Saccharomyces cerevisiae S288C: one gene and its partners. The protein of the gene in region 2 interacts with the protein of the main gene of each other region in a biochemical or structural test. Each region holds a gene or a part of one and is shown on either strand. Other genes may lie near its edges. The genes, in order: TEN1, STN1, POL12 and CDC13.

What was found.
Region 1: the proteins of STN1 (region 2) and TEN1 form a complex in vitro, tested with the Saccharomyces cerevisiae proteins (one study listed by BioGRID).
Region 3: the proteins of STN1 (region 2) and POL12 form a complex in vitro, tested with the Saccharomyces cerevisiae proteins (one study listed by BioGRID).
Region 4: the proteins of STN1 (region 2) and CDC13 form a complex in vitro, tested with the Saccharomyces cerevisiae proteins (2 studies listed by BioGRID).

What each region holds. Positions count from the first base shown.
Region 1 is NC_001144.5:166,410-173,612, forward strand, and holds TEN1 (Ten1p), read right to left. Parts: upstream 1,394-7,203; coding exon 911-1,393; downstream 1-910. Other genes in the region: RLP24 (ATPase-activating ribosome biosynthesis protein), read left to right, coding at 128-727; LOT6 (flavin-dependent quinone reductase), read left to right, coding at 2,694-3,269; YLR012C (uncharacterized protein), read right to left, coding at 3,573-3,872; GAT3 (Gat3p), read left to right, coding at 4,930-5,355; PPR1 (Ppr1p), read right to left, coding at 5,859-7,203. UniProt on the Saccharomyces cerevisiae protein: Has a role in telomere length regulation and telomere end protection. Acts as an inhibitor of telomerase loading through its interaction with CDC13.
Region 2 is NC_001136.10:608,875-615,986, reverse strand, and holds STN1 (Stn1p), read right to left. Parts: upstream 5,547-7,112; coding exon 4,062-5,546; downstream 1-4,061. Other genes in the region: AFR1 (Afr1p), read left to right, coding at 1-1,699; TVP23 (Tvp23p), read left to right, coding at 1,983-2,582; RRP8 (25S rRNA (adenine645-N1)-methyltransferase), read right to left, coding at 2,736-3,914; PDC2 (Pdc2p), read left to right, coding at 5,906-7,112. UniProt on the Saccharomyces cerevisiae protein: Has a role in telomere length regulation and telomere end protection. Acts as an inhibitor of telomerase loading through its interaction with CDC13.
Region 3 is NC_001134.8:149,419-158,149, forward strand, and holds POL12 (DNA-directed DNA polymerase alpha subunit POL12), read right to left. Parts: upstream 4,193-8,731; coding exon 2,075-4,192; downstream 1-2,074. Other genes in the region: APL3 (Apl3p), read left to right, coding at 1-868; YBL036C (pyridoxal phosphate homeostasis protein), read right to left, coding at 1,029-1,802; STU1 (Stu1p), read right to left, coding at 4,430-8,731. UniProt on the Saccharomyces cerevisiae protein: Non-catalytic component of DNA polymerase alpha, which in a complex with DNA primase (DNA polymerase alpha:primase) constitutes a replicative polymerase.
Region 4 is NC_001136.10:60,167-69,860, forward strand, and holds CDC13 (telomere-binding protein CDC13), read right to left. Parts: upstream 4,853-9,694; coding exon 2,078-4,852; downstream 1-2,077. Other genes in the region: HBT1 (Hbt1p), read right to left, coding at 1-239; FMP45 (Fmp45p), read right to left, coding at 706-1,635; DTD1 (D-tyrosyl-tRNA(Tyr) deacylase), read left to right, coding at 5,076-5,140, 5,212-5,599; YDL218W (uncharacterized protein), read left to right, coding at 6,327-7,280; translocation channel protein TIM22, read right to left, coding at 7,817-8,440; COP9 signalosome catalytic subunit RRI1, read right to left, coding at 8,831-9,694. UniProt on the Saccharomyces cerevisiae protein: Single-stranded telomeric DNA-binding protein that regulates telomere replication. Has a role in both positive and negative regulation. Promotes [TG(1-3)] strand lengthening via interaction with EST1.

The DNA of each region.
Region 1 (7,203 bases), on a different chromosome or scaffold from region 2:
TCGACTTGTGATTTGAAAGATATTGCTATTCAAGCGTGAGTTGTCCATATTGTTACCACCACCTCCCCGTGATTTACATTCAGAAACTAAAAGGAAAAGGAAGTAGAAGTTTAGTAAGTATAAAAAAATGAGAATTTATCAATGCCATTTTTGCTCATCCCCATGTTATCCAGGTCATGGGATCATGTTTGTGCGTAACGATGCTAAAGAGTTTAGGTTCTGCCGTTCTAAGTGTCACAAGGCATTCAAGCAACGTCGTAACCCAAGAAAACTAAAATGGACCAAAGCTTTCAGAAAGGCTGCCGGAAAAGAATTGGCTGTGGATTCTACCTTGACTTTTGCCCAAAGAAGAAATGTCCCTGTTAGATACAATAGAGAGTTAGTTGCCACAACTTTGAAGGCTATGGCTAGAATCGAAGAAATTAGACAAAAACGTGAAAGAGCCTTCTACAAGAATAGAATGAGAGGTAACAAAGAAAAGGACTTCTTAAGAGATAAGAAATTGGTCGAATCTAACCCAGAATTATTGAGAATCAGAGAAGTTGAAATTGCCAGAAAGTTGGCTAAAGAACAAGAAAGAGCTGAATCAGTATCCGAACAAGAGGAATCTGAAGAAGAAGAGGAGGATATGGAAATCGACAGTGACGAGGAAGAGGAAGAACAATTGGAAAAGCAAAAGATTCTGCTAAAGAACAGAAGAAGAAATACAAAGAAAATTGCTTTTTAGTTAGAACAGAACCGGGCTAATTGCCTCTTTCCTTTCTTTTCTCATACTTATTTCATGGGATAAATAAGAATCACCTGTATACTATTATTTACATTACATAACATTACAATAACTATTTTCAAGGGTCCTCTTACATTCTTATCAAAGGTATTATATAATCTCAGTATATGCCAAACGTCTGACTTAGGAGTTAGAGATGTTCAGAAACTTCTCACCAAGTGGTGATTTGACAAATTCACAGAAATCACGAACGTCATTCCTGGATAGTATCTTAAAATCAATGATTTCAAAAATTGGCGGACTTTGGTGTATTCCATACCATACCCCAATGCGAACATCCAGTACCTGCCCATTTATCAATCTCAAATCATCTTTATGGGCTGAAAATAATCTTTCGCTCATATACAAACGCATCTCCTCTGCGCCATTTGTTGAATTGAGGCAATGAAGATTTCTAACTATCATTTGACAGAAAAAACCTTTAATGAATTCTTCATCCGATTTACAGAACAAGAAATCTACTAATCGAACAACAATCCTGAATCTTTTGGACGGATGAATAATGTTTGGTTCCATTCCGTTTCCACCGTAAACATTGTTATGAATATCGTAATTCGTTGCTATTTTATCCTTCAAACATTTTAAGTCTAGAACTAACTGGCTCATATAACACTGTCGTAGTTCTCTAAAAAGAGCAAATAGAGCTGTATGTAACCAATACAATATAGTGAATTATGTCCTAGAATAAGGGCATTCATTATTCTCCATCTCTGCTTCAGAGAAAAAAAAAAGAAAAAGAAAAAATAACGACAACTGCAGGACTCGAACCTGCGCGGGCAAAGCCCAAAAGATTTCTAATCTTTCGCCTTAACCACTCGGCCAAGTTGCCATATGACTATTGATTTATATCATATTACGAGCCCAAATAATACTGGGGTGTTTTGACAATCCTAATATAAACAGTCTTCGAGAAGTAACCAGTTGTCAAAACGGATTATCAGCTTGATTCAAGGAATGTTAACTGTCCTATATCATATAAAATATGAATCATACTAAATGGTGGAAGCACGGATCTTGGATCTAAACTAATTGTTCAGGCATTTATATGTTTGGGTAGTTTGGCTAAGGGAGGCCGGGTTTTATCTCATGTTGTTCGTTTTGTTATAGGATTGTTTCATATGTATTTTATGAACGTTTAGGATAATGTATTGTCAGGCTGACGTATCTCATTTTGAGATACAATAATTTAACCTATTTTATGTTAAATATTACACAAGATGATAAATATGTCAACTAAAAACTTTAACGCCGAGCTTGGCCATTACAATATAGAGCACATGCTATGATCAAATGAATTAGATGAATACAAGCCAAGAAAGCATTTTTTTAATTACACTTCATGCTTTTGTTGGAATGAAACTGTAAAATACCATCTGTTTAGTAGTATTTGTGTTACCAGTATACCGTCACATGCGGTGTAACGTGAGGACATAAAAAAGTCATCAAAATTAATGTCCCCACGTTACACTGTATATGACAGTATATACTACTGACATGAATACTAGTCGATAGTTAATACATGATTCTTATTACAACATGATGATTACAGTCTCGTCTTGGTCTGTTGTTTGACCCTACTATTTTATGCTATTTTTTGTATCTGATTTGAATTCAAGGCAATTGTTGTAATTCCATTCTTGGCATAACCCTGTGTAGATTCTACAGATAAGCTGCTTTTTTCTTTGAGTGGTGCCCCCGTTGTTTATTACCCGTCAGTATCATAACATTTGAGCATCTCACATGGTTACGAATGTAAATATGAATCAAAGAAGGTGCAAAATCAAAAAAAATCGAAAGATTTGACATGCCTATTGAAAAGGGAAAGTTGTATATCTATCAATTGTTAATTAGTTACTTGGTCATCTCCATTACCAGCTGAGGTGCTTAGTCGACAACCGCATTAAACATGAAAGTGGGTATTATAATGGGTTCTGTGAGGGCAAAGAGGGTATGCCCAGAAATTGCAGCATACGTAAAACGTACAATTGAAAATAGCGAAGAATTAATAGACCAGAAGCTGAAAATACAAGTAGTAGATTTACAACAGATTGCTCTTCCCTTATATGAAGATGATGACGAACTGATCCCTGCGCAAATAAAGAGCGTGGATGAGTATGCAGACAGCAAAACTCGATCGTGGAGTCGCATCGTAAATGCATTAGATATTATTGTATTCGTTACACCTCAATATAATTGGGGGTATCCAGCAGCCTTAAAAAATGCAATTGATCGTCTTTACCATGAATGGCACGGAAAACCTGCCCTGGTGGTAAGCTACGGCGGTCATGGCGGTAGTAAGTGTAATGACCAACTTCAAGAGGTACTACATGGTTTGAAGATGAATGTTATAGGTGGAGTGGCGGTGAAAATACCGGTAGGTACGATACCGTTACCCGAGGACATTGTACCACAACTCAGCGTGCACAATGAAGAGATCCTGCAATTACTCGCATCGTGCATCGAAACAACGAGGAATAAATAAACCATAAAATTTAACTGTAGTCGCAATAAAAGATGAAAAGCTAACACAATTATCATAGGACACTGTAATCCAGACTTTAATTAGTATTAAGTATTGAGTACAAAGTACAAAGTATTATACTAACGGTAGTTTGGGCTCTTCGATTACCCATACACTTTTAATGGACTAATTTCATCAAGTTTCATTCGAAAATTTTCTTAAAATATATATATGCGTAGTGGTATAGTATTCATATTTCATGAACTTATTTCATAAAAAAAGATAAAGCAAACCTAATATTTGGATCGGCGCTCGAAATTATTCTCAGTATTCTTCAGCATTAGACATCTTTAACATATCAATCTTTAAAAGGTTTCTTCTTCTTCTGTAGCTCGGAATATAAGCATTCATATATGACCATGTTGTAACGCGATCGAACCAAGCAACTTCTTCTTGTGCAAATTTCCTAGCAATACCAGGCACACCTCCTTGACGATCAAATGCAATTCTTTCAGTCTCTTGTTCAAAATCTTTTTGACATAAAGCCAGGTATTTTTCCTGTTGTTCAGGTTGCAGTTGAAGATACTGCTGGTAGGTGATTTCTTTGTAATAGACAGTCTTCATTTGAATATGTTCGAGACTTTTTCTCTTAATCTCTATGAATATTTTCTGTCTTGAAGCTGCCGTCTTCATAGAATGTTGTTCTATTATCCACCTCGAACATGGCCTTTTTATACGTTTTTACATTAAACATCCCCTTCATATTAGTTTGTTCTCGACTTAATTCTACTCATGCTTCTGACATTTTTTCATGCCAAGACCGGCCCTGAAAAAGGGTCCGGATATACGGATAGCGCCACACATTCAATTAGGGGAAGTATTATTTGATACATTGTCAGCACACAGCGATTTAACCCATTATTTGGCATGACAAGCAAGCTATTCGACAGTGAAAAATGCACAGAACATTCAAAATTATACTTATAATATGACTCTTTTCTTTTATTGCAGTTGGTATTATATACATATATATATATATATATATATGTATATGTTCCCCGAGACAATGGTTTTATTTCCAAAAAAAGTGTAAGTAAGTTATTTTCTGTGTATAAAAAAATAAAAGAAGCCAGATGAAGTGCCAGGTGGCGTACCAGGACTTCAGCTTTCTTTAGTTTGCATAATGAAAGTATCACTTACAGCTCCCTTGAAGGATTAGACGCTATTAACCCCGATGAAAACGCATCAACAAAACCTTTAACACAGTACTTATTTGGTGCAATACATACTCACACAAACACCTGTAGAAAATCCCCTTATATGAAAATCCCTTTTTTTTCTTGGCAAGTATTTCTGATAAAATGCGGACAACATTACCTGCTTAGCCGCCTGCCACAGAAAATAAGTAGGCTTCTCTGTAAAATGGAATAATAGGCTAGAGGTCAAAAACCTCCTCTTCAGTCATATCTATGTTTTTAAGGGTCTAGGGTCCAATTTGATGGAAAAGAACAAATGGTCGAGCATGTTAATTAATATTTGTTGCTCTGTTTGAAGAGTATATTATAAGACGAGAGGTTCTTTGAGGGAGCTTATCTTACCTTTTCTTGATTTGAAACAATTTCATTAAATGTAAACAATTATCAACTAGAAGCAAATATAAAGCCAGAAGGAAGAATTTGCTATGAACATTAAGACTTTGTGTCATCCAGAATATAAAAGAATCTCCGTTGAATCGTTATTGAATCCGGTAGAGGAGACAATAGACTGCGAAAAACCTCACTCTCAAACAAAAATCAATACTGCTAAACCCATTAGTGCATCTTTGTATGTCACAACGAATAATACTGCTGTTGTTCAGCACAATGTCCAAAAGAGGAAAGGCGTCACCAGGAGATGTCCACAGTGTGCGGTGATAAAAACTTCTCCGCAATGGAGAGAGGGTCCTGATGGAGAGGTGACATTGTGTAATGCCTGTGGATTATTTTATAGAAAAATATTTTTGGTTTTTGGCAAGGATCTGGCAAAACGGTACTTTAACGAAATAAAAGGTGTGAGCGTCAAACGAAAAGTTCCAAAGAGCCTCTATGGAGTTACAAGAACGCGTTAAGAGAATTTATTTCTGCTCGGAATGTTATATACTTATGTCAAAGCAGTGATTATACATTTATCGACTTTAAACAGTTGATAACGAACATTATGTGTTATTCGAAAGTCAAAGTGCCATACAAAACAAGTGGTTTCTCAGTTCTTGCAATTTTTCTTTATCAGCGTAGTCCCAGAAAAAAAAATCATCACTGGAAATGTAAGATGAATTCAAGTATCAAGTGCCGTTGGTATTATAGTTTATCAATTAATACGTAAATATATATATATATATATATATATATATATATGACTATAGTGGCATACTTCTCAATGGACTGTTGCTTCTATCATTTTATACATGCGTTCAACTTTGAAGATTATCACAAAAACCTCAAACTTTTCAATTAATCTGCCCCGGTCATTTAAGTTAGCTCTTTTAGGACTCTCATGTTTTCAAAAAATAGATTGAAAAGAGCATTGGTGGCCCTACTTTCAATCCATTGATCATGATTCTTCGAGCTATCGCTAAAATATTCCACCGGATTCAGAGTTCTTTCCTTTACTGATATCGTAAGAAGACTCGCCTTCGTTTCCGTTACCAGACCTGACAAAAAACTCATCCCATACAGATCCCGAAGTAACCTGGAAAAGGATATCCATGATATCTTGATTATTGGTATACGACTGGCAATTCAATGCAGAAGACGTATTTGTAGAAGCACTTTCATTTATCACTTGATTACCTTCGCTTACATCTAAAGTATTAAACTGGGAAACATTGCTGTGTTTTTCCAGTTCGGTAAAAAATTCATCTAGAGGTATATCAAAAGGTGCTTTTTCTTCAAAATTGGTTCTATTAAAAACCTTGTTATCAAAAGTACCGTCGTCAAAACCAAGTACGTTCGTTTTTTTATCATAACTTGACATGCGGTTTGCCTGAGAGGTTAGGGGATTTGAATCCGAAAATATCCCTTTGGCATCATTTATTTGCATAAATTTTAACTTTATTACAACTGATGATAAAATTTTGTAACTCGTGTAACAGGTTTTCGCAGATTCGCAAAAACCTATCAGATTCTTCAGTACTATCAACACTTTTTCAGTGTACTCTGACACTTTTTCTTGACAATCATTTATGTTGTTTTTTGAGTAAAAATTTACGTAAAGGTAAGTCATACCTGTCATGAACATGTTATGAACTGCTACCCACGTGTAACCAATTTTTTTATTGACACAAAGATTGTAAAATACGTCTATGGTGCCCTTCGTACTGTCCAGGACAATTTTAAAAGCGGTATCATTCAAAGTAGGGAATTTTGGAGAAAGTCCATAAAGAATGCTCTTCGAGTAATGATAGTTCAGATCAAACCAGATGCTGTTAAATTTGCAATTCATCATCTCAAAGTTTTTGGGAACGTCCACTTGGAACCAACGCTCAAGCTCATTGTAGGTTTCAATCCGCCAGCTCTCGAGATCCATAAACCTCCTCGGCAATTCTGCACCGGGCGCGTAGAGTATTCTCACTATACTAGCTTGGATTCTTCTGATTTTATACATGGCCAATGCGATAACTTTTGAAGACGGATTTGGGCTTGGTAAGTCTGAGTAGTCGTCAATTTCTCGGTTAGTTAATGTGATGAAGGAATCGTCCAAAAGGCTAGGATACCTGGTGGTGATGCTTTCTTCAGGTATACCAAAAGGTCGACCAAAATACGAGCAAATTTGCCGATCTAAGGAGTAAACGCACCAAAATAGACGCCTGCGTATTTCTCTGGTAAAGGCGTCATAATTTTTATTAATTTTTTCCGAATGTAGTCCTAGGTCAACCGTTAGTCTTAGTACAGAACCCATAGTATACCAAACACCGGGG
Region 2 (7,112 bases):
ACACATTTATAGTGGCGAGATAGACTGTAGGTCTGTGACAGCAGCTAGAAAATTTCCAGTAAGGTCCTGTTCAATGACAGCCGCCCAGCAAAGAAAGAGAACTGCGCTATTCACAGTTAGGGAAAGAAACTCTTACCATGAGGGGTTCAATAATGATCAAGATTATGTGAGCCAATACCAGAAGCCACAGTACACTTTCGGAGTATATAAAGAATTAACACCTTATCAACTGCAGCGCTCTAAAATGAAAAGAAGCTTTCAATTTCCCAATGGCGAAATATACAAGCCAAAACTTGATGGAAAATGCACCCACAGCTTGAAAAAGCCTGAATTAAATTCAAGAGACTCTTCTTTATTCAAATTCAGCGAGAAGAAAGGTCGCAATTTATCAAAAGATTTTGTGGGGCCTCATAATGGGACATCAGTCATACATATTCCTCCCAATGATACAGGCTACGGTGTAAATAGCTTGGAGCTGAACACTTCAGTTCCTTCAACAATAAAAAGTTCGGTTTCATCAACCTCTCCGATATCTGCTGTTAATACCCTGACCAGCTTGCCAGAAAGTCAAACTGATGATGATGACGGTTATGAAAATAAAACTGTAACTATATCTTATTGCTTCGAAAATACGGTAAATGAAAAACATGGTAGCCATATAGAAAAATTGGATTTATCAACTAAGGAAAAAACTAAGCCAACAACTAATTCAGGCCTATTTGATAGAAAGAAAAAGACTATTCTGGGCACTGAGAAATATAGATGTATAAAGTCACAATCGAAGTTGAAACTGGGTTCTGTTTTGAAGAAATTATGGCGTACTTCAGGAAACTCGAATACAAAGCATGGAAAAAAGGATACAAAAAGAAGGAGAATTCCTATCGATGATATGGTTACGCATTCTGATGGAAATTCTGAAGCTGAGAATGATATTGAATTAATGGATGCAAATCTGGACGGCATTGAATTTGACGACGACGAAACTCTAATGGATACAGATTCAATTTTTGATGATCTGTTGTCCAAGGAAAATGATAAATACGATTTGAGGCGAAGGCAATTAGAAATACGACAAAAGCTCCACGAGACCTCGCACAACGACGATGGCAAGGTTTCTTTTCGAGATACCGAAAAGCATAATGTCAATGAAGGTTTGATCGACAAGACCATAATCGAAGAATTTTCAAAGCTCGGTGAATATATAATCGACACGAGAAATCAACCACCACCAAGATCGTCCAAGAGGCCTTCATTAGATGACAATGAATCTGCACGATACTTCTACAACATATCGACAGATTTGCGACAGTCTCTGTCAGGTCCAATAAGCTTACCAATGCATGTTGGGAACGACATGGTAAATAGGTTGAGAAATGACTGGGAGTATATCAGATTCGAAGATAGAAGGAATTCGCTGCCAGATTCCTCATTTGATAAAGTCGAAACACCTCCAAAACCAATAAAAAAAGATGTCCGGTTTGCAAAAGAAGTATGTTTAGCAAGCACTTGGTCATCGAATGCATATGAGAGAGCTAATCCGGAATTCATTATGAATCGCCACAGATTGTTGTGGATGATGAAAGTACATCCAAGCATGAATAGTGCCATGAATGAGATCAAACTTGAACTTAACTCTTACAAAAAAAATGAGATGGTTGTCCATGAGAACAGCAAGTGCTTTACACATTATTTAATTTGAGTTATTAACGTAACATAATCCAGTTTATTTTTTGCAATAGAAGGCGTCATACATATTTATATATCAATGTATACATTCCATTCCAGTTACTTCTTTTGCATCTTGCTTCCTGTTTACCTTGACCTCGAACCTATTATTTGTCCGCAATGCGCCTTTGGGTGAAAAGGGATTTCGTTTCCATTTTAACTGTACATAATGTAAATGTAGAAAAGCGTGGTTCTTAAAGGATTTACGGTTCAATACGCTTTTATAAACCTGCTGGTGCTCTAATTACGAATGAAACATGGACCAGGCAAGAAATTTCTACAACACAATTTTAAAATCGTCGCACCCGTTGCTACTATCATTTCATCTGGCAGGTAAGGCAGTTCCCATTGTATTTTATATCATAGGATCAATGTTTTTGAATTTCACACCTCAATTCATCACTGTCGTTCTTTTACTTTCTTTTGACTTTTACTTAACAAAAAACATTACAGGTCGGAAACTGGTCCAATTACGCTGGTGGTATGATTCTACAGATGTGAACAAAGATTCTAATTTTACTTTCGAATCATATAAGCAATATGCGCCGGGCCCACCAATAAATGCCATCGATTCTAAGTTATTCTGGTGGTCGATGTATGTGACACCCGTAATCTGGGGTGTCTTCGCTGTGTTGTGTCTTTTAAGACTGAAAATATTCTACCTGATTTTGGTCATTGTTGCAATGTGTCTGACCGCCTGGAACACGTATGGATTTCGTTGTTGCGATAGATGGGAGCCCAATAGTGGACAATCTGACGGTCAAGATACTAATAATTGGTTCGCTCTTCCTTCTGTTCCGGGCTTTGAAAATCTTTCAAGGCTGGCTAATATCCAATCGTTTTTCCAGAGACAATAAAACCTTGTCCCTCATGTGAACATTGTGGAGTACTTCTTCTAGATGATTTTTACTTTACGCAATGTACTACAGGAAAAGAATACAATTATATGTATAAATATAGTATACAAAAGAAAAAACAATATTAAAATATGAAAATGACGGATGAAGTCGTTATCTTCTTTTATAAATACAGGGCTTCAAGAGCCATTTTCCTTCGGCAATTTTCCGTCTTTTCTTTTCTAATTCTTCCTTCTCAGTTTCAACTTCAATAAACTTTTGTCTTCTTTCCAATTTCTGCCTTCTCTCTTCAATAATCTCCGCAGGTGGCTTGAAAAATTCGAATCTTGTAAACATCTTATTCTCGTCGAAGGTCTTTTTGTGAAAAAATCCCATCAGCTTCAAAGCGTCTACAAATTCATTACCTTTGCCGTCACTAAACCTTGATTTAATTTCTGCGATCCATAATTCACCCCTTGGCGCTAAAATCCTATAAGCTTCTTTTATGAAATCGAGGAAATTTGTACCCATTAGAGCCAGGCAGAAGACCACTATAGTACAGGACTCATCTGGTAGCGGCACATTTCTAATATCTGCCACAGTTATTCTTTCGTTAGCTTTCTTCAAATCAAAACTGTGGACTTTATGGCGTCTTTTCAAATATTTCTTCGCTTTCTTATTGTAATTTTTGAAAAAATTGTTGATTTCTAATGCTAATTGAGCTTCACCACACCCCATATCAGCAATAACTATTTCTTTACTATCCTTAAGACCTGGTAACCCACCTGGAGCATTCACAGGTTTCATGCATCTATAACGAATTTGGTCAACAAAAACATCAACTGGATTTTCCGGCCATGCTTGCACTTGTGATCTAAAACCATCATGATATTCGTCAAATAATTGTGGTTGTTCTTTTATTAATTTCAAAGCTTCATCAGAGCTAATTGTATACAGTTGTTCATTGATCCATCTAAATCTAGAACCAGTCAGTTTAGCCATCATCTTTTGTTGTAAAGGGGTTAGTTGCTTCTTTGTAGGTTTTTCAATATTTTCTTTTACTTGCATCAGAGGGGCTTCTTCATCGTGCTTGCGTTTCTTGCTCGTTTCATTTTGATCACTTTTCTCTTGGTTTTTTTTTGGGATGTCTTTGGCTACTGATCCTTCGGAAGGAATGTCTTCCACTTGTTCCTTCAACTCAGCCTCTGTCTCTTCTTTCAACTTCTGTTCTCTTGTAAGTTTGCCATTTTTTCTATTATTTTTTTTTTTATCTTTTGAAGACTTATTAGTCTTGTTATCAAAAGCGACGGTTTTTGTCTTAATAGACCAACCTTCTACGTTAAATAAGGCCATATAAAATTTCGTTAACGTCCTTATTTGTTTGATATAATATATATACAATATATGCATAAAGTTATAGTATCTTATTTTGAGCTCATCGCAAAATTTTTCAGGCCTAGAGAGATGCGCCGTTATTGACGATGCGAGTTTTCTAACAAATTATGAATATGCTGCTGCGTATTCCAAATGTAATAATATTCCACTGTTTTGGTCCTCCATACCATTCTTCGGATCAAGATCAATCCACCAATTTTTTAGTACCTCAGGATACTGTTTCTTTGTCCTTTTAAGACATTCTTTGAAAACATCAACGATGCCGTTCGTTGTTATGTACGGCAAATGTAGCTTTTCCTGAACATGACTTAATTGCACAGTGCCTGTATAACATTGTAGCTTCATTAGAACTGATATACGTTTTTCAGCATATTCAAAAAGATTTTTTAGAGGAAGCAAATCAAATGTCTCACTTGTTTTATCTTTTAATCCGATCAAACCCTGGCTGACTAGACGATTAACCAGGTCTCGAAACGCTTCCTTTTCCAAAGAGTCAAAAGATTTCATGACGCCAACATTTTGTTGTTGAAACAAAAACGATGCTAAGCTAGTTACTACGCTGCGTACTTCCTTTAGTTTGTAAAGGTCAGAATTAGAAATCTCTTTCATTTGTAGTCCTAATAGGATCAACATCAAGTTTGACTTTGCTGATGTCCTATTGGGAATCATCACAGGTAGATTAGCGCTTTGATATTCTAGTTTTTTTAACTGTTCGTCATTGCCGTTGTCAATTTGATCACCTGAATTCAAAAAGTGAGTTTCAGGAAAATCCTTTAGCGACGATACAAACCGAAATGACAAGGAATGCACACTATTCGAAGTATCTGTGCTATTGTATGGACTAATAATTTCTAATTCATCCTTCAAGCGTTCTTCTTGCAGTTGCTCGATGAAAGTAGTTTCATTTCTTTTACTTTCTGGGGTTTTGTACCCTATACCTACAAAATCCGGGTTTACTACCTCAATCTGTGATGTCTCAGGTGTCCACTCTTGCTCTTGCGTGAACAATTCTCCAATTACAAAATCGCTTAAGGACCAAGGCGTGTCAAGTTGCTCACGCATGTTCATTGTGATTTTCCAATGATCTATTTCTTCCGTTAAACTGTAGCATAATCTTAAATATTCAACTTGAAGCTCTTGATAGTTCAAACTTGCTTGCCCGTAGACATGAAGAGTTAAGCCTATCAAATCGGTTATGTTCAACCCCCATGATAGGATGCTATCCTTCTTAACTTTACATGTTAAGAATCTCATGTCACTAGTATAACCCACCAATGAAGAGTCTGAAGTACAATCGTCCAACTGAAAAAAAATGTATTCTTGTTTCCCAATCCATTTGAACTGGAGTCCAATGATGCAGCCAATAAGGTGTATTTGCTGTAAAGGATGATTTTTCCAGAACAACATCGACAACCGCCTATCATAATACTTTTCGCAAATTTGCAAAGAAACTCTCATCCGGTACTTTAAATCTCCAACAAATATTCGAACGTCCTCTGTCCCACTATAATAACTGTTGTATTTGAACAGCCTTGGAATATAATAACAAACATCGCCTTCTTGATGAGCTATATGTCCGTACTTATCCATGGCTCCAACCCATTATTAAAAGCCAGCTTATTGCTCTTTTTTCGCACAGAAATGGAATATCAACAAGCAGGATTTCATATATTCCAATGCTTACTTCTTTTTCCATGCCTTTACATACTTCTTTTTGGTGTGATTCGTGGTTTTGTTGTTAGAATAGCTGCTGCATATTTCCGTTCTGAGTGACTTTGCCCATCGAAGTCAATTACTTGAAAGTAAGAAATTATCAAAACCAATAGCTGCTTAAAAATCAGTTGCAAGATTTGAATGAAATCAGCAAAGTTTGATCAATCGTGACTAGTTCGCGTTTTGAATTTTGTGGTAACACCAAGCAGTAAAGAGACAGCTTTATTATAACCAGCATGCTTTCCATTCAGCAAAGATATAATATTTGTCTAATGGCGGAGAGGCACCCAAAGTGGACGCAACTTGAATTGGCAAAATGGGCTTATGAGACGTTCCAGCTGCCAAAAATTCCATCCCAAGGCACAATATCGCGTTTGTTGGCAAGGAAATCAACTTATATGAATTGTAAAGAGCATGAAAAAGATGCGAATAGATTAAGGAAGCCAAATAATCTTTTGGTTCGGAAAATTTTACAAGAATGGATTTCTCAAAGTTTGTGGAATGGAATCCCTATAACGTCACCTATTATTCAAGACACTGCACAAGCTGTTTGGCACAGAATTCCTGCGGAGCATCGCGAGGGAAATGGTTCTTTTAGTTATAAATGGATTTCGAATTTTTTATCAAAAATGGATGTCAATATTTCTGTTTTAGACGAAGAGTTACCCAAAACCCCAAAAGTCTGGACATTTGAAGAGAGGGATGTATTGAAGGCTTATTTCTCCAAAATTCCTCCAAAGGATTTATTCACTTTAGATGAAGCGTTTCTCTCCTACAACCTACCGTTGGATTATGCTCAATATGAAGCAAGTAGCATTCAAAGGCGTATAGAGGTGGCAACTGTCATGCTGTGCTCCAATTTAGATGGCTCTGAAAAGTTAAAACCTGTTGTCGTGGGCAAATATGATAGTTACAAATCATTCAGGAATTATTTCCCCAATGAACCGAATGATCCTGTGTCACAATCAATGTTGGGTACTAAGATGGCTAAGAAATTTGATATCTCATACCATAGTAACAGGAAAGCATGGCTAACGAGCAATCTTTTCCACAACTGGTTAGTCAGGTGGGATAAGAGGTTGGTTGCTGTGAATAGGAAGATTTGGATTGTTTTGGATGATTCTTGCTGTCATCGAATAATTAATTTGCGCCTTCAAAATATAAAACTTGTATACACTTCCTCAAATTCAAAGTTTTTGCCATTTAACTGGGGTGTCTGGGATGAATTCAAAACACGATACAGAATACAACAGTATCAGGCGCTCATTGACTTGCAAAATAGAATTTCGAAGAATATCCAAAATAAAAATAAATCAGAACGGAACGAATGCATACCCAATGGTAAAAAATGTTTGATTAGCTTTGAGCAGAGTCAACTCACAATGTCAAATGCATTCAAATTTATTAAAAAAGCTTGGGATGATATACCCGTTGATGCTATCA
Region 3 (8,731 bases), on a different chromosome or scaffold from region 2:
ATCTGAAGACTTTTCAGGAAAGGACTCTTATTATTCAAGGCAGATCCTCGCTCCAAATTGGAGGGAAGGTTTCACAAGAATGATTTCGCATAAGCAGGGTGTGCTTTTCACATCATCTTTGATGAAAGTTTTCTATCGGATAACCACTCCTGATGCACAACAGCCATACGTGTTTCATATATCTCTTGCCTTCATTAACCTGACTGAGTGGGAAATCACGGGATTATCCACACAGATTATCCCTTCAAAAACGCAAGGTAATCCTGAGTATTTAATTATGAATATTAATACACCTTCTACTGCTACTATTGGGCCCCATAAAAGGGCAGAGCAAAGCTATGAAGTTTCAATAAGAAAACCTTTCGACGTTGAAGATAGTCCAATTTTGGCAATTCATTTCAAATGTGGCGGTAGTACAAACACTATCAATTTGAAAACTGCCATAGGCATGACTACAACACTAATTAGCAGCGATGTCAATCCTAGCATGCATTTGAATTTGGCACAGTTCATCAGCCGTTGGAAGACTTTGAGCGATGCTTTGGGAAAAGAGGGAGAATACCAAAAATCTGGCATAAAGCTCAACAAGGATTTTAGAAAAGTTGAAACAATCAGTTTAGAAGACGGACTTCTACTATTGACGCAAACAGTGAAGAGGTTGGGCTTTGATATAGTCGATCAGACCAGTGTTCGTAGTACATTGTTTGTCTCGGGTATTATTCATACGAAAAGTGAGGGAAACTTCGGTTGTTTAATGAAGATACAATACCAGGTAAATGGAACAGTTAATGTTACCTGTAAAACAACGACGGCCGGTCCCCTGGCGAAGTACATTGTCGAATGTATAAAGAATGTGCTTACGAAGTAAAATTTTCTCAAATTCACTATAATGAAAATCATCCGCATTGTACATATATAAACACACACACACATATATATATATATTTGAGATTCTATTTATTTTCATTTTGTGTTGTAATGCTATAAAAAAAAAGATCTTCGTATAAAATCTCAGTTCATTCAACCTACTAAATGATTCTAGCTTCATTTTTTGGAGGTCTAGCACCAAAAATGTCGGTACCAATTCTGACTTCCGCTGTTCCTTGCCTTATAGCCTCCCTGAAATCAGCACTCATCCCCATAGACAATTTCAATGATGTACCAAATTTAGCATCAATCTTCTTCTTCCACTCAACCAGCGTAGCAAAGTCTCTGTTTTCTTTGCTATCTTCATGAGAGACGTTCCATGAACCAATAGTCATTAACCCATTCAACTTAATATACTTGCATTCTTCGGATAAGAAGAAGTCGATGACTTCAAATATTTCTGCTTCATTATTCAAGCCCGATTTTTGATCCTCATGGGAGGTATTAATTTGAACATTACACAATATTGGGTTGCAATCTGGTTGAAATTTAGCCCTCGATTCGTTTAATTTTTTGGCTTTCTTCAAGGAGTCGATTGTTTCAACAGAGTATAAATTTGGCACTTTAGCCAAATCTTTACATTTATTCGTTTGCAAACCGCCAATAAAGTGCCACTTGATATCGTCTGGTAGTAATTTTGCCTTTTCGATCAACTCTTGAACATAGTTTTCCCCGAACTCCCTCACACCATGGTCGTAAAGAATTTGTATATCGCTAGCTGGTTTCAATTTCGAAACAACCAATAATAAAATTTTGGAGGCATTTTCATTAACATGAACATTTTTTGCCTCTGCATTCACAACTTCCCTTACAGATTCGTATTGGGCAATTAATTGTGTCTTTCTATCTTCATCATAAGTAATACCAGTGGACATATTGCAATGTGATGCTGGAATCTTAGTCAAAAAGGAAAGAGTGATGCCTATCAGTTTTTTTTTTTATTATGCATTTAAGAGTAGTCTCTACTTATGAACATTTTCTCTGGCCTCTGATCACGTTACTTTATTACCCGGATACTGATCATGTTATGGTCTTTAATCAATAAGTAAGTTATAGAGCCAGTTTCAAGGTCGATAGTTCAGGTGTATAACAATACTTTTTGGTGCTACCTTGAGCTATTCCATTAGTTAAGTTTGAATTAAATATATCAACTAGCAATCAAGTCAACTCTAGCGCGCTTCCACACGTTGTGTAGATAAACTGGCTCTTCACCTTCAACAAGCGTCAATTTCCCGTCTTCAAGATCAGGGCATTGGACAGTAATTTGTGCATAGGATCCCCTGTTACCTGTTGCTCTAATAAATCTTCCGGGATTTATAACAACTACGTTTTGGACAACTCTTGCAAAGTGTTGTAATTCACTGGGTATAATCATTATGTCAGGCGAGAACCCACCAACAAACTCTGTTAGTCCCAGATAACTCACGTCTAAATCTGCACCAGATATATGTTCATAAACTTTTTCTTCTTTGCTTTCCATATCATTGGTTTCCTTCTTCGTAGATACGTCTTTTGGTTTTATTCTTGTACGAATACTACCTGGAAATATGGGGTAATACCTGCGCTGTTGTAAAATATGCTCAGAAACACGATCTAATCTATATCTTGATGAGGTAGTACCGCCTTTTATGACTTCCTTTAGATCTTTGAATGTATCAACGTTTGAGCAACCGAAGTATATCTCATTTATTTGAAAAGATGAAGGATTAGCCATGCATTTGAAGTTCCTTTTAGGCAGCTGTAAAGCCTTTCTAATTAAAGAAGCTTGTGGATATGCGGCGTGATTAGAAATTGCATCTTTTGTGGAGGGTATCAATACGGTTTGGATATGTGGTGATATGGTTTTTAGAATAGGAGTAAATAACTTCAAAAAAAGCTCGTCCAATGTTTTGGGCTGTGTCTTGAACTGGGGAAAATTTGGCAATTTACCACTCGCTATCAGAGGATGGGTGATATCTATAAATGGGCCAAACATTATCAAGACGTGAGGTTTTACCTCATTATTTATACTATCGATAAATTCTTGCAACAATTCGAGGGAGAAGTTATCATTTGCAAAGTATGGGCCACAGGTCACGATAACCTTCAAAGAAGAACCTTCCAAATTTGCTTGAAACTCCTGCAGTTCCTGCGATGTGGACACTGGGGAGTTTGGATAAGGTAGCGGCAAAATAGAGTTAACGGTGAAGTAATCCCCATTAGCATTTTTACCTTTGAATGCCACAATTTGGCCTAAGAAAAACGAAAGCTCGTTGACCTGCGATAGATCTAACCTTACCCTTCTTCCAACGCCGCCCATTCTTGAGGTCTCTAGGGAAAGCGATTCTGGATTCAAAAACTTGTCGTAGGTCGGCGAATCTGGAACTATCCTTCCAACAGCATAAATTTCGGACTGAGATTGAATAGTTGGATCAGCGAAGTCGTTTGGAGATAACTTATAGTGATTTTGAATAATCTTAGTAAACGATTCAATTTGATCATCGAGGACATCAGACGCTTCCTGTAAGTTTTGCCTCATTGTTCTGAATTTATACTTTTTAGCATCATAAAATGGTTCTACTTTGACCTGGTTATATGATGGTTCTTCAGTCGAAAGAAGGCCTACATTTGGATTACCAGATGATATTTCAATATTTTCAGGGTTCAAAGAATCCAAAATTTCACCAGCAGGAACATTTTGCCTCGATGTGGTAGGAGTGTTTGTTGTTGGAGTTTGGAATGTCGACGAGCCGGGAGTCTTGGCATCCGAGCTTTTAGCGTGGGACAATGGAGCACTGTCACCCACAGCATCTTCTGCCATGCCTGGAGTAAACTCCAATTTTAAAGAACTATTTCCTTTTTCATTTGTTTCTGCCTCAGAGCCTACATTATATGTTTGCTTGGAATCACTGAGTGAAAAGGGACCATGTAACTTTCTTTTTTTTAAAGTCGGAGTCTTTGGAATACTAAGGCCAAACAAGGGACTTGAATTCAAACTTTTTTTAATCACTGGTTTTTTTGTGGATGTGTTTACCTTAGAGGACGATGAAATTTGGTTAGCACGCTTTTCCATTTGTAATTGTAAAAATTGTTTAAACTCATCTATGTTCTTGGAAGTCAGATCTGTGTGAGTTTGACGCCTTTGATTGGAGAACTGCTCCCATTTAATGTATAGATCCTCGACGGACAATGCATGCAGTTTAGTTAAATTCTCTAATGCAGTGATGATTTCCGGCTTGTCTGCATCAGGCCCAAAATGAGTGATGACATCGATAGATCCGCTCATTTTTTTTTTTTTCAGTCACTTGCTCCTGCCTAAATTTACCTTCAAGCTTTGTTGAACCAATTGACAATCAATTATCTTGATATTTTTATATGCAAATATATTATGTATATGAAACAAAATGTTATATGTGTCTACAAAGAGCTCATATTATTACAGTTTTAGAAAAGAGAAAGAACTAAGAAACTCTGGTGAGACGCGTCACGGTAAAAAAAAATTACGCGTCTACCACGCTATTCTCTATTCGTTTGAGGCGATGAACATGATCATTTTAAAGACATTCTTAGGCAAACAATCGAATAATCGTTCGGTTTCTTGCTCAGTATAATCTGGAGTAGTTTGGAGGACTCTCAAACAACGAGCTAATACCACGGCACTGGTGAAGTTCCACGAAGTATTATCAGTCCCCATAATGAAATAGCTCATTGTTTGGATAATCTCTGATATATTAGATTTCTTGAATTGTTGGCAAATGGTAGGAGATTGCAGCATCTTCCATAAGGTCTCAATTAAAAATGTTTCTTTCACACCAGCGGTGTCAGGCTGAATTTCAGTAACCAACATGCTTAGAATTCTTGTTGCCGAATGTTTTTTGAAAAAGTGCGATAACATTAGACTGTCCCTGAACTCTTGCGCTAATTTATAGATTTCGTTTCCATAATCAGAAAATTTATTAAGCATTAAAAGGATCTGTTCCCATACTTCTTCGAAACACATTCTCACCGAAACGCCATCATCGTCGGCATTCTCGCTTAGTGTATTTAGAAACTTTTTCCAAACCAAAAGACAATGAACGAGAATTATGGACTTACTGGATATTTTTGATGGAATTGAAGGCGTGTCATCAGTAGATTTCAAAAGCATAATAGCAACATCCAGTAGTTCATCAAAACCATTTTCATTCGTCAACCAATCGGTCATTTTTTGATTTTGAAAACAAGTAATCAAGGGTTCGATCAGGTAATTTATATGTTTCATAGTGAACGATCCACTTTTTATCCTGTTTATTGCCTTTGACATGTGATTGAAATAGACATCAAAATCCATCAAAGTGTTGCCATTAGAATCAACCATTAAAAGATGACTAATTTCATATACAGTCAAGGAATCCCTTGGGAAATTATCCATGATAAGCAAATGCATCTTCTCTGATTTTTTGTTATTAACTAGTTTCATCTTTTTGGAGTTTATGTCTTGTTCAGTTAGTGCTACGTCTCTTTCTCTCTTTACTGTGATCCTTTGCTTTTGACCCATATTCTCGTCCCCGTTTATTTTGATTGGTGACATTGTTTCCAAATCAGGCTTTTCATTCTCATTCCCATTTCCAATAAGTTTTTCTGGCTCATTTATTATCTTTGGAGGATCTGTACTGAATTTTACTGTTGGTTCATTATCGTCCTTCAATTTCCTTTCGGTATTTTCACCACTGTTTTGAAAAATTTCACTTAAATTCAAATCAGATTTTTGAGAATTTTCCATATCTATATCATCTTCCTCCTTTGCTGGGTTTGGCTGGTCCAGTTGATAAACACTTACTATTTTCGTCATTTCTGAAAGCTTTTTATCTTTGTCATTATCATCATGAATAACTACGCTGTCTGTGCTTGATGTTCTTTTTCCAACGTTATTCTTCAACTCTAGTGTTTTATCAGTTTCCAAGTTTTTGAAGGGATTAATCATTGTCATTTCCATGCATTTCTTAACATCATTTTCGTCTACAGCATCGTCGGATTCCTCATCCCCTTCAGATTTTTTATTGTCGATGGGAGTGAAGCTTACAGAACTTTCTCTAGAAATGATGTCTTCTACCTTAAAGTTGGCATCCTTCTTTTCAAGTTCATGACAGATTTTCATCTTGGTAGATACAATGTCAAAATCAGCTAGCAATTTATTAAAACGATTATTATCGAATTTATAAATTTCAAAAATTAGATTGAAATAACATGTGTAGTCAAACTCTTTACCGTAGATTTGAAAGAGTATCATTGATATTTTAGGCATGAGATCGTTCGTTCCTGACCTCAGAGTGTTATCATGTTTTATGTTCAAGTTACGGAAAATCTCTAAAAGTAACTTGAAATTATAATTGAAAAAAGTGGTTTTGTATTTCATATAGTATAGTTTGAAATCATTCGGACAATTATTGGCATTCAAGAAATTGAATAAATCCGCGATAGTTATAATCAAGTTAGTAAGCTCGTAGGGCTTTTCAGGATTCATTCTATTCTTTAAGATTTCCGCGTAATCAAAACTATTAATAGAATATAGCTCAATGAGGTAATTTAAGGGAACTCCATTTGTAAACTTCTCTATACTCAAAAATGGCTTGAAATCATTTGGTGACTTTATCATAATTTGGCGTAGCTTTTTCATAATCATGGGAAATTCAAATTTTGGGGCTGATGATGACTGTTGCGATGTCAACAGTAACTCCTTTTGTAAATACTGTAAAGCATCTTTGATCTGAGCTGGAAACGAAGCATCATTGAATTTTTTGTAAAGGGTTTCATATTCACCAAGTTTATTACTGCCTTTTAATGAGATTGGAGAAGATGACATCGAAACATCATTTTTATCCATATATTTCTTTATCAACGGGTTAGAGTAACTATTTGATAACTCATCAGTCAAGTCGATTTGGTTTGACGGAAAGTCATCAAAATTTGTGTAATTTTCAGATACTTTTGTGGCGGCAGTAGAAGAAGGAGGGGCACTAACTTTTCTTTTAGTAACATTATTATTATCTTTGGTGTTGCTGTTTGAAACAGAGTTCATACTGTCATGATGCCTTGCCCTTTTTTCATTTTCTTTACTTGAATATTCACTAGTAGACCTTAAGTTTGTTTTCAGCTTATTTGATAGTTTACTGGCTATGACACTTCCACCAGCTGTGACTGCAGGAGCGTTGAGTAGGGAGGTGGAGGAAGATTGAGTCGGTTGGGCATAACTTGGATAGTTCCTTTTCTGCTCCAGTAAACTGGTTTTTCTTGAAGAATTATTCGAAGAGTGAGAGTACAATCGAGACGTTGCAGAGGAGGCGGAGGCAGTAGAGGACACCCTGGAAACTTGATAGTTTATATTCAAATGAGCAGGGATTGCCAATTCTGTTGCTTTTTTCAACTGTGGAGAAAAGGAAGAACTCAATAATCTTTTGGCATTTGTAGGATAACATTTGTAGAAATACCAAAAAGTTAACCTCATTGCCTCTCTAACGGTTGTCTGTGAATCTGAAATGCCCTTTTTTAGCCATTCTTCGATGTATATGATGTTATTCTCCAACTTTGAGGTTGGCGAAGTTGTATTTGAATTGTTGAGCGAAAGATTGGAGTCGTTGAACTTAATCAGGAAGCTACGCAGCAGTATTGCAGAGCAAAATCTCGGTGTTACGGTTTTCTCATTTATTAATAAAAAAGATAATTGGAATAGTTTATTATGGAAATGATTTATATCAATGATCAAAGTAATTAAACAATGAAATGCAGTTTGTGAAGAGATTTTCTTGGTAGATGATAACAAGTTCTTGAAAATGACAAATATTTGGTCCAATATTGATAGGGGCAACTGATCGTTTAGGATATGGATTAGCCTCTTGAGGAAAAGTAATGCAGTTAATGATAACGTTGTCCTCAACGACGAGGTAGCTCTTGAAATCAACTCAATCAACTGCACCTCCTTTATTACAGTGACAAATTCCTCTGGATTATCTTTGGGAATGTTGCCGGATATAATGTTGTCTAATTCAATTATATTTGATTGCCTTAGCTTCCAATTTTGTTCTGTTTCCTTTACACTTTGGAACGGTGCCAACAAATTCTCCAAGTCTTGTTGTAATTGGTTCAAAGACTCATAGTTTTTTTTCATCGCTGGGTCTTTACTGCTCAAGTTGTTTGATAACTGCGGCAATTTCGCTTCGGCTAATAGTAATTGAAACTCGTACTCTTCGTCAAACAAGGTCGATTTATCTTCTTGTGAACCATGCTGGTCCTGTGACTTTGCTAAACTTATGAATTTTTGCTTGAATTTCTCAACTTCTAAATCGTTAATAAATCCATCTATCAGATCCTGTGAATTTTCGTCATCCATTTTCAAATACTTGTACATTATATCGAAAATAAGCTCTATTATTACATTATTGTTATCATCGTTTGCGTGTTCATTTAGGTTGTTATTTAAAAGGTTGGTGAAAGACAGCATGAAAAACCTCAGTAGTTGCAAATGATTTGAATTATTTTTCTCGTTGATCTGGATCAACTCATCGATGGTCAATAATGTAGATTTTATCCTATTCAGGTAATCTCCGTTTTGGTTTTCACTTGGTCTTCGCAAGAAATTTGCTAGAATAGCTTGGATCTTCGATGGATTAACCAAATAAATGGCTTCAATGGCTTTAATGGAAGCCAGCCAAAATTTCTTCTCATTAGGCAACTCGAAAATTAAGTGGTTTAGTAATTGCTCAACTAGAGTGTCATTGAATTGTACTGGAGACTGCATGGCCACACGTTTGATAAGGTAACAAAGCGAGGAATGTGATAGGAAGATTAA
Region 4 (9,694 bases), 550 kb from region 2:
TTATGCTTCTTCCTCCAAGGTAACAGAATGTTTTTAGCCTTGGTTTCCAAATTCTTGGACGTTGATTCGGGCTGTTCTTTTGGTAAGTTATATTCGGTCGGCTTTGTAGTACTGAAAGACTTTTTGCGTTGAGCAGAATCTGAATTGGAATCATAGGAACCGGGCTTACCACCAAACGAAAAATTATTTTGTTCTTCTTCGCCTTGACCATCTTTGGAAATGGACTCGTTCATATTCATATCTTGGGTTGGGTGATATTCTTGATAGCTCTCCACTGGGAAATCTTCACGGTGTTCGGTATTATTCTTATCTCTACAGTTACATATAAAAAAAGGTGTTTTTGAGTTAGTTAGTATTATATATTAATTTTCTTGAGGGGGTGGTATTATTAAAGAATTAAATTCAATATTATTACTATTAATTACACTAAGGTGCCGGGTATTATTGACGTTTTTTTTTTCTTAGTCTCTTTAATGAAGAAGGAAAAAGAACTAAGTTATTATTAGAAGGAAAAGGAGGAGGGGAGGCGAGAAAGAATGGTGGAGAATAAATGAAAATCTCCAAGAAAAAATTTCAGCACGATACATATGGATTATACCATGTCACAAAAAAATATTTCGGTTGGAGGTAGATGCAGAGTTATGGTACTGCGAATGTAGGAAGAAAAAAAAAATTAGGAAGTATTTTATGGTGATTATTTCCTTCCTAGTCGCGTACCGTCACTGGCCCGGCAAGACCACCATCCCCAGCTGGTTCTAACTCAGCTGATGGCACCTGCTTTCTTGTTTTCAGTTTTTGAAAGAACTTGCCATTGCCAGCCGGAGTAGTGGTGGTTGTAGGTTGAGGCTGTCCAACCACAGGTGCGGCTGTGATAGGGCCCGCGCCGTCCGTCGCCCCACTATTGTAAGTGGATTTCTCCATTTGAGCACCGGTGTCAACAGAAGGGCTTTCATATTGGGCATACATGTCGTGGTCCGAGTAGGTAGAGTGGGCCTTGTGGGTAGCACTGAATATAGTGGACCAAATGGCGTTCACGAGCATCAAGAAGACCGAAGTCCAGATGAACGCAAAGTTTTTGGGTCCCAGCCTTGCAGACCTCCCGCTGTTGCGGAAGGTCTTTCTGGCCTTCACATAGCAACCTGTGTACAAGCATGCAGCCAATATAATGAAGAAAAAGGCCAACCAGGACAACACACAGTACAGGACTGGCACTGCCTTGAAAGGAAGGAAGGTAGCCAGAAAGCCGGGTACCAGCGCCAGTACGATGAAAAATAGGGAAATCAGCAGCATGGCCCATCCAACCCTGGATAGATAATAGTAGGTATCCCGGTTGTTTCTGAACGACGATGGTAAATTGACAGAGTTACCAAAATTGTCTCTGGGAGAGAAAGGCTTGGCGGGCGCCCTGCTAGAGCAATTAGCTAGCTGGCCGTCTTCGTAGCCGCACCAATTGTAATTGTACCATCTCGTGGTCGATGGAGCGCTGTTAAAGCCGTTTGTATCAGCCTGTAACCAATAAAAATTTTTCAGCGTTCCAGATTCTCTGCCTCCTGACAGAATAAGAAAAAACGTCAATAAGCCAGCACCGAGTAGGAATAAAAACACAAGCAAATTAACGAACCTTTTGAAAATCATAGCGGTAGATTATAGTGATTAGTGTTACTTGTTACTTGGATAAAAAGGAAAGTATAAGCGTTAAACGTAAATACCTCTTTCTTTTTAATTCACTTCAAAATTACTGTACTTAAAGTTTGCATCTAACGGATAACTAATCAAGAGAACAAAGCAAGATCAAGTAACTGTTGCAAAGCAACCATCCTTTTATATGTCGGCATCTGCGCCGAATGCTCCTCCCCATTCCAGACTATCCTTGTTTTAGCATCAAGAAGGAAGGAAGACCTTTCATTGACTCTTGCTTCTTACCACTCCCCTCTTTCCCTTTTCCTTCGTGTGAAAACGTTCCACTCCCTTATATTCAGAGCACCCTTAAATTTGGTTATTTGGTCTTTTTTTTTTATATTACTCCGAGACGTCACTGCAATTTGGCACCGCCGCGTTGGGCTGCGCGGATCATGTCTTACGAGGTGGGAACGGCTCCGGCGTCATCGTCATTATCCTCCTCCTTTTTCACGGTGACGCCATTTTGCGCGGCAAGAAGTCGCAGAGGATTGACGGTAGCATTAATTGCGCAATCAAGACTCCCTGAATCAGGAGCCGCTGCAACCTTCGGATGGGCCAGCTGTTGTTGCAATTCCCGAAAGGTGCATTCAATTGGGCACCAGATCTGGAGTGCCACGGTAGTGTCAGGGAACAGCGTGAGCGAGGAGGTTATATTGAATTTAAATGAATGGCCGAGAAATTGTGCCAATTGCGTATATTTTTCCTCAAGAGGCTGACGCTGTAAGTAGGCGCTTGAGCGGTTGAAAAAATAAGCAAAGTTCTTGGAGGTAATGATGTGTAGTTGCAACACTCGCTCCGGGGCCAAGCCGCGGGTTTGTAAAAGTGGGAGCTCATTCGTGATATGGAAGCAGAGATCAGATGCGTGGTACTCGATGGCGATGATACGGCCCTCGCAACTGTATAATGTGTTGCTCTTGTGTGTTTGCTGTGGGCGCGGGAGGCGAGCCGAGGAGTCCAAGAGAGAAGATATATCTGTGAACTTTACATCGAAGGAGGACACGTCTGCATTCAGGTCGGGTATGTGTTCTGCGAGAGCTGGTGTAGTGGGTGATTTTTTTGGTTCATGCTTTACTTCATCGAACCTCAGTTTCGCGAGATGAGAACCGTTTCTATGTATGGGGAAAAACCTCCGGTACTCTTCGAAATAGCGTGAAATTGCGGATTCGCCAATTCTCTTGAACGCTCGTTGGTAGAACAATCTTAAATGTTCGCACTGTGAAGGCGAGGCGATGCTGCTTATTTGGGAATGCGGGACCGGCTCACATTCGCGCACAATGGCATTCAATTTGCCGTTGTACATTTTCACTTTTATATTCATCTTACAAACTATGCCGTATTGCGAAAGGTTTTCATCGCGGCCGTTCTGTAGATCTCTTAGCCCGTTGTTGAATATTTTTCTGAGCTTAGAGTCAAACGTTTCGAATTGGTTTTTGTACATGATGGCTTTGAAGCCCTCGTTCAGCTCTAACTTGTTCTCGTAATCTATTAGATATCTGTCGTAAAGATAGTTTTGGACGATATCGTTCTTGGTAAAATCGCTAAAGACAAAAGATATAAAGGCAGGTTTATCAAACGAGCAGGAGACTAGCATGCCAAACATTGTTATGTATTTGGTCTCAAAAGTGTCGAGTCCCAACTGACAGAATTCGATGGTGGGGTCTTTCCTTGCCATTTTGCTCATCCTTGTGCGAGACGGATCGATTGACGCCGACGATTGCGCAGGCACCTGCACCTGCGCCTGCGCCTGCGTGTCGGTGCTAATGTTCTTCAAACTCCATACTGCCATACCTGGGCTGGCGGTCTTGTCATTGTCCCACAGGATCCTTTCAACTTCGACGGAAATTCGATCAGGCTTTTCCAGTAGTAAAATATCCGATATCTTGTCGCTTTGACAGTTTAAAACACCGAAGAGCTCACAGATTCGCTCTCTCGTCGGGATAACGATCTCAATGCAATTGACGCCTGGCACCAGGACCTTGTCTGGGACATTTGGTAAGAGCTGCGTAAAATATAATTTCAATGTGCAATATTTGAACTCATTTATACTGGCGAATTGAGGTGGATTCATGCCAACAATTTTGCCCTCTAACCTTTCAACTGAGCCTACACTAGCTAGGGAAAGTTGCTCATAACTGATGGCTTTGCGGATTGAGGACGCGTTCGGACTGTGGAAAGAAAGCTTTCTCTTCCTCTTGCTTCCGGAATCATCATCGTGCCAATTATTTGGTACGCTTGTTTTCCTTTCAGGTGTCTGTGACTGGATGTAGGATTTTGAGCTGAAATATTTCCCGGTAGAGGAGGTAGTTGAGGAATCTGAATCCTCAATGGGATCTGCGCTGTCATGCATTTCCTCTCCCATGTTGCTTATATCTGTGGTCGGTTCATCTACATTAAGCGTCATAAGCTGCGAGTTGAATTCGTTTTGGGATTCAATGTAAGGTATCCCTAGTCTATTTGGCACAAAGAAAGGATTAATTGCTGCGGCTTTTGATTTCTGCGATAATACCTTTTGTTGGTCTTGAACGAACTTTTTTAGTTCTATATCGTAGTGAATCAACTTTACAAATTTAAACCTGTTTTTCTCGTCTCTATTCATTTCTATTAAATTGTTGAAGATATCCACAAGTGAGTTGTTCAAATCACATTCTGAAATAAGTTCTGATGACGAATGCTTGCTGCTATTTGTCGATTTTGTAGATATGGTGCTTATCACACTTACCAAATCCAACGGTTTTATGTCCTCTAAGAATAGAGTATAGTTCCCGTGTTTTGATACATATAAAGCTTTACAACTTGAAAAACATAACCTTTCAAGGTGAATATCTCTCAGTATTACTGTTGGGGATGCGCCTGAGTCAGAATCTAAATCTGGCAGTTCAATATCAAAGTATTGGCAAAGTAAGGAAATAGTGATCCGGGCTAACCTCTCCGAGCCCCTATCTTTGAACTTCAGTTTGATTAAATATTGATCTTCTTGGGATTGATCTCCTCGCCTCTCAAAATTAGAAAAGCCTAGCAAACATTTTGTTTCAGTCAGGTGTATTGAGGTTAAAAGCGCCACGAATTGCACGGGAACTATTGCTTTGCTGGGATAGCCTTCAAAATCTTTACTCGAGCTCACAAAAATACGATTTTTATGTGGAGGACACTCAGGCTCTTCTAAGGTATCCATTTTTAGGCGATAGTTTCCACGGTCATTCGTATCCAAAGAGAAACATATATGAATATATTCTTAAATTTCCATTTTGAATTAGCATTTCGCATCTCACTAGGCCTTCGCGTCTCTTATGACGTTGAAAAATTTGGATATCAAAGGTTTAAAAAGTATAATCACGTTAATCAAGGCTGCATGTACATATTAAATAATCCACATATTATTCAGCAGCGGATTTACAATGAAGATTGTCTTACAAAAAGTCAGCCAAGCATCTGTAGTCGTCGATTCAAAAGTTATTTCAAGGTATGTTACCGGTTTTTTCAGCTTCGTTAGTGCACCAATTTTTTTTACTAACACCTCTATCTATGTGACAGTATTAAACATGGTTATATGCTCCTAGTAGGTATTTCCATTGATGATTCTATGGCGGAGATAGATAAATTATCGAAAAAGGTTCTTAGTTTGAGAATCTTCGAAGATGAATCCAGAAATCTATGGAAGAAGAATATTAAAGAGGCCAATGGTGAAATTCTATCCGTGTCTCAATTCACTTTGATGGCAAAAACCAAGAAGGGAACTAAACCCGATTTCCATTTGGCCCAAAAGGGTCATATAGCTAAAGAACTTTATGAAGAATTCTTAAAATTACTAAGAAGTGATTTGGGTGAGGAAAAAGTAAAGGATGGTGAATTCGGCGCAATGATGAGTTGCTCTTTAACTAATGAAGGGCCCGTTACAATCATTCTTGACAGTGACCAATAAGATTGACCTTATAGATATATACGAGAAGAAAATAAAAAGCAAACATTATTTGCAATCTTTCTTTCGCAAGATAAAGTACCAAAATCTTTCCATGTTATGTTCTCAGTGAAGTTGAGTAGAGCGGAGAGGAGCCCTCCCCAAAAAAATGAATACAAAATATCTGTGATGGATTTTTGAATTCACGCTTCCTTCAATAACCTTCGCCAAGAAAGTCTAGAATTGTTTTATATTCTTTACATAAAAGTAAGTAAATCAACTTTAAAAAACTTTAAGGGCGAAAATGAAAAAAAAAAAATGTAAAAGTGAAAAAAGGGACGGCGAAGCGATGCCCTGCCAGTCTTACTAATCCAGAGGGCTAAAAGCATGTTTACAGTGTATTTCCAGTCATAGGAGAGTATTGACCTGGCATGGAAAAAGAAACGCACAATGAGAAAGGGGATATATACCCTTAAATTGACGATAGTTAAGGAGATTTTGAGGTTTGTGTTACTAATAAACCAGTAAGCATACTCGTTGATGACTTTAACGTATATTTGGTTTCCAAGGGATATTGAAACCGTATCTTAAGGGATGACGATGGTTGGTTAACATTCCCTAAAAGACAACGTATAAAAAGGTTCAACAAAGCGTCCGTTACCATTATGCTTTGATGTTCTCAGTACGAAAGTTTACGGTTTTTTTTTTCAATTGAGGAACATAAACCAAATAGATATATTATATCAACGTTATGAAACGAGTTACTGGAGTTTTCTTAACACTTTTGAGATTTTCTCAATTTGCATCATCGGTTTTGGTGATGTCACTTTTGGCGTATGCCATCCACGCCTATGGAAATAGAGGTAATAAGAAAACCAACTTCACATTGGCAACAGGTGTCATTAGTGTGTTTTATCTGATTGCCTTAGGTATTTTGTGTCTGGCCCTACCCACATTGATCTACATAGGAATGTACTTCTGTGCCGAATTGATCGTTTGTATGCTATGGCTAGCAGCTTTCGTTGTTCTTGCCAAAGCTCAAGGTGAACGTAGCTGTAGCAACACTAATGCAGACGGATTATACTATAATCCGTACAGTGGCCAATATACTGCTGACAGTCATAGAAGAGCATGTAATTCTTCTCAGGCGGCAATCGCCTTTTCTGGCCTTTGCTTTGTACTGTTTTTGATCAGTGTGATATTACTGGGAATTAATGTCTTAACACCTATCAGGAAGCGTTATCAAACCCAAGGAATGTGGAGAAGCGGCGCTTCTATGGGTACAAAGCTCCATAGGTGGAGCGGACTAGCTTTAAGCGAGCCTTTTGAAGAAACAGCTGCTTACGATAACACCAATGTTAGGACCGGTGATGTCGAAGCAGGTGCAGGTGATAATGCTGCTTACACATCTGAACCGAATGGCGACGCACGCTATGCAACTAATGACCCCAATGGGCAGTACCATACTACCACCACCAACACACGTTACACCACAACAACAGCGGACCCTAAGACGCGTTACACCACCAACGATCGTAATCCTGGTTCTGCGAATGTCGCTAACAGTGCAGTGGACCAGCACGCTTACTCTACGGATGAGTCAGGTGATCGGTCTTATCAAGAAAAGGTCACAGAAGGAGCTCACTCTGGCGCTATGAGTGGTAGCACTGCAGAACCAAACAGGAACGTCAATCAAATGCCATAAATTCAATGATTTCCTTTTTGTTCGTCTATACCCTTCACATACTTTTTCTTTTTCTTTTTCTTTTCTTTGCTTAACGATTTGAATTGCTCCTGTTCTAATAATGGCGTCGTCTTTTAGAAAATCCTTATCAGGTGTGAATAATGCTTAATTTTTTTTATATATAATGATTTACTTTTATTACTTCTTATTTTTATATTTTCCTCTGTCAAATATGTGACTGAAATCTTCCAATTTATTAATATTAAAGTGTGACTATCACTTGAGTTTAGCGACAGTCTCTAACGCCTCGAATTCATCGACATGGGAAAATTGGAAAGGGTATCGTTTTTACACTTCCCATTTTCTTCCAGCAAAAATGATCGGCCCAGAGTCTAGTTAAAGCATGATTAATTCTCCCAGGGAATTTTTTTGCTTTACTAGTAACAGTAGTTCTGGAAATTATTAAGCGTTCTTAAATTCTGGGACGGTCGTGCAGAATATTAAGATAGGTGATATTTACAAATATAAAACATTCATCGTTCGTCGAAATTGGCTATTCATTCTTTAAAATCGTTTTGAGGTGGTCTACCATCCTCACTTTTCATATACAAATCAATTGCAGCTGAAAAGGCAGCAAACCCGGCACCACCCATTAAGGCAGCTTGTGGTCCAGCTTTGTATGCCAGCCCAGCACCGGTAAAAAACCCTGCGGTTACTCCGTTGTAAATATCATTTTTAGCTCTAAGTGACTCTATGACACACTCCACCCCAGCATATATCATACCAATGTAGCCAAAATTCTTAGCACTAGAGTAGGATTTTTTACCCATATCGGTAAATTGAAGTTTCATTTGCTGCCGGAAAGGTAAATCAGATATTTGCTGAACTGTTCTTGATATTCCACCCACACCTATATTTCCCGCAGTTGCAGTTGCTGCTGTATTTGCAGGTGTAGGTGTATGAAGAGGTGTATCATATGCCATTGACGCCATGAACAGGCCTAAAACACCACCCAGTGCAAACCCTGTTACACCACTCACAACTGATTTTCCAGGACAGGAAGTCATGAAGTTCATGATCATTTCAGCACCCCGTTCACCCTGTTCTTCCGGAGTTAGTTCATTATAAGGTTTCTTTTGAGCTGGACTTATCTGCTCCAAACCAAATCCTGTGTACACCATCTTCGTATAAAGTATTTAAAATCACAATTTCTTGATCTTATTTGGCAGCTATCTCTACTATCCCGTTTAGTACTATCCCGTTTAGTAGTGACAGAAAAATAGTATTTTGTCCTGAAAAGCTTCGGATTTTATATGTACGAAATGGATCCGAGGAAATGCTGTCTGTTTTATTAGAGAATTAAGTTGACTGATGCATCGTCTTTCTCTTCAGTTGTAAGCTCGATGCCATTTTATCAGTAAGACCAAAAACCAACACATAACGGCGTACGAAAATATCAAATTGTCACCCGGTATAGATATACTTATAGAGATTCAAGAAGGAATAACTATTAAAAGTACGTTGCAGATAAACATAAGCTATTGCAGCGTCATTGGAGCAACGTTAGGAATTCATAATGTAAAGGTGTCCTTGTAAAAACGTAACCGCTCATATTGTTTTATCTTTGACGCAAGTATTCGATTTTTTGCTCTTGCATAATCTGTCTCCAAGACATTTCTCTGTAACATATCATTGCCCTCATCATGACATCTTTCCTGATTGCTGTTCATGCGTTTTTTAGAATTGTGAAAATTGTCGGTAGACCTGCTGCTTCTTTCCACGCGATTTACATGAATGCTCGGTTCGCCGTTTATGCACAGACTAGTGTCAGTACTGTCGAACTCGGTAAGGTTTCTATCTTCCATATCTACGTCACTAGTATTATCACCTGAAAACATGCTTCCAAAGGAGCTTGTTTCAGTGCTATCCCCCCTTTGCGTATTGAGGCAGAACTGAGACCTTGTTGAACGGTTTTGATAGTCAATGTTTTTTTTATTTTCGTTGCTAACACGTTCACTGGTAGTAGCCAACTTAATCCTTGTTCTAACATTTTTGGAATCCATCAAATAGCTATACTGCTTCATTGAATCGATCAATCTATTTAATGATATTTGTTCTGACTCATCATCCTCTATTACGCAATGTAAGTTTAACTTTGTTTCAAATAGCGCTCGGTTCAATTCTGAATCAAATATGATTGTTTCTAGTTCATAGTATGAAGTGGCACTATTATCATCACTTTTACTTTCTATTGTCCTAAATGCACCCATTCTTAAAATTTTATCTTCCAGACTTTTCAAGGGATCGACCACAATTGCGACATATGGATCTTGGAATCTCTGGTTCAAATCCTGGGTTTGGATATCTATATTACTTAACCAACAGTCGTAACCAGGATGTGAATGGAACCAGCCAACAACATTCAGTTTAGCGCC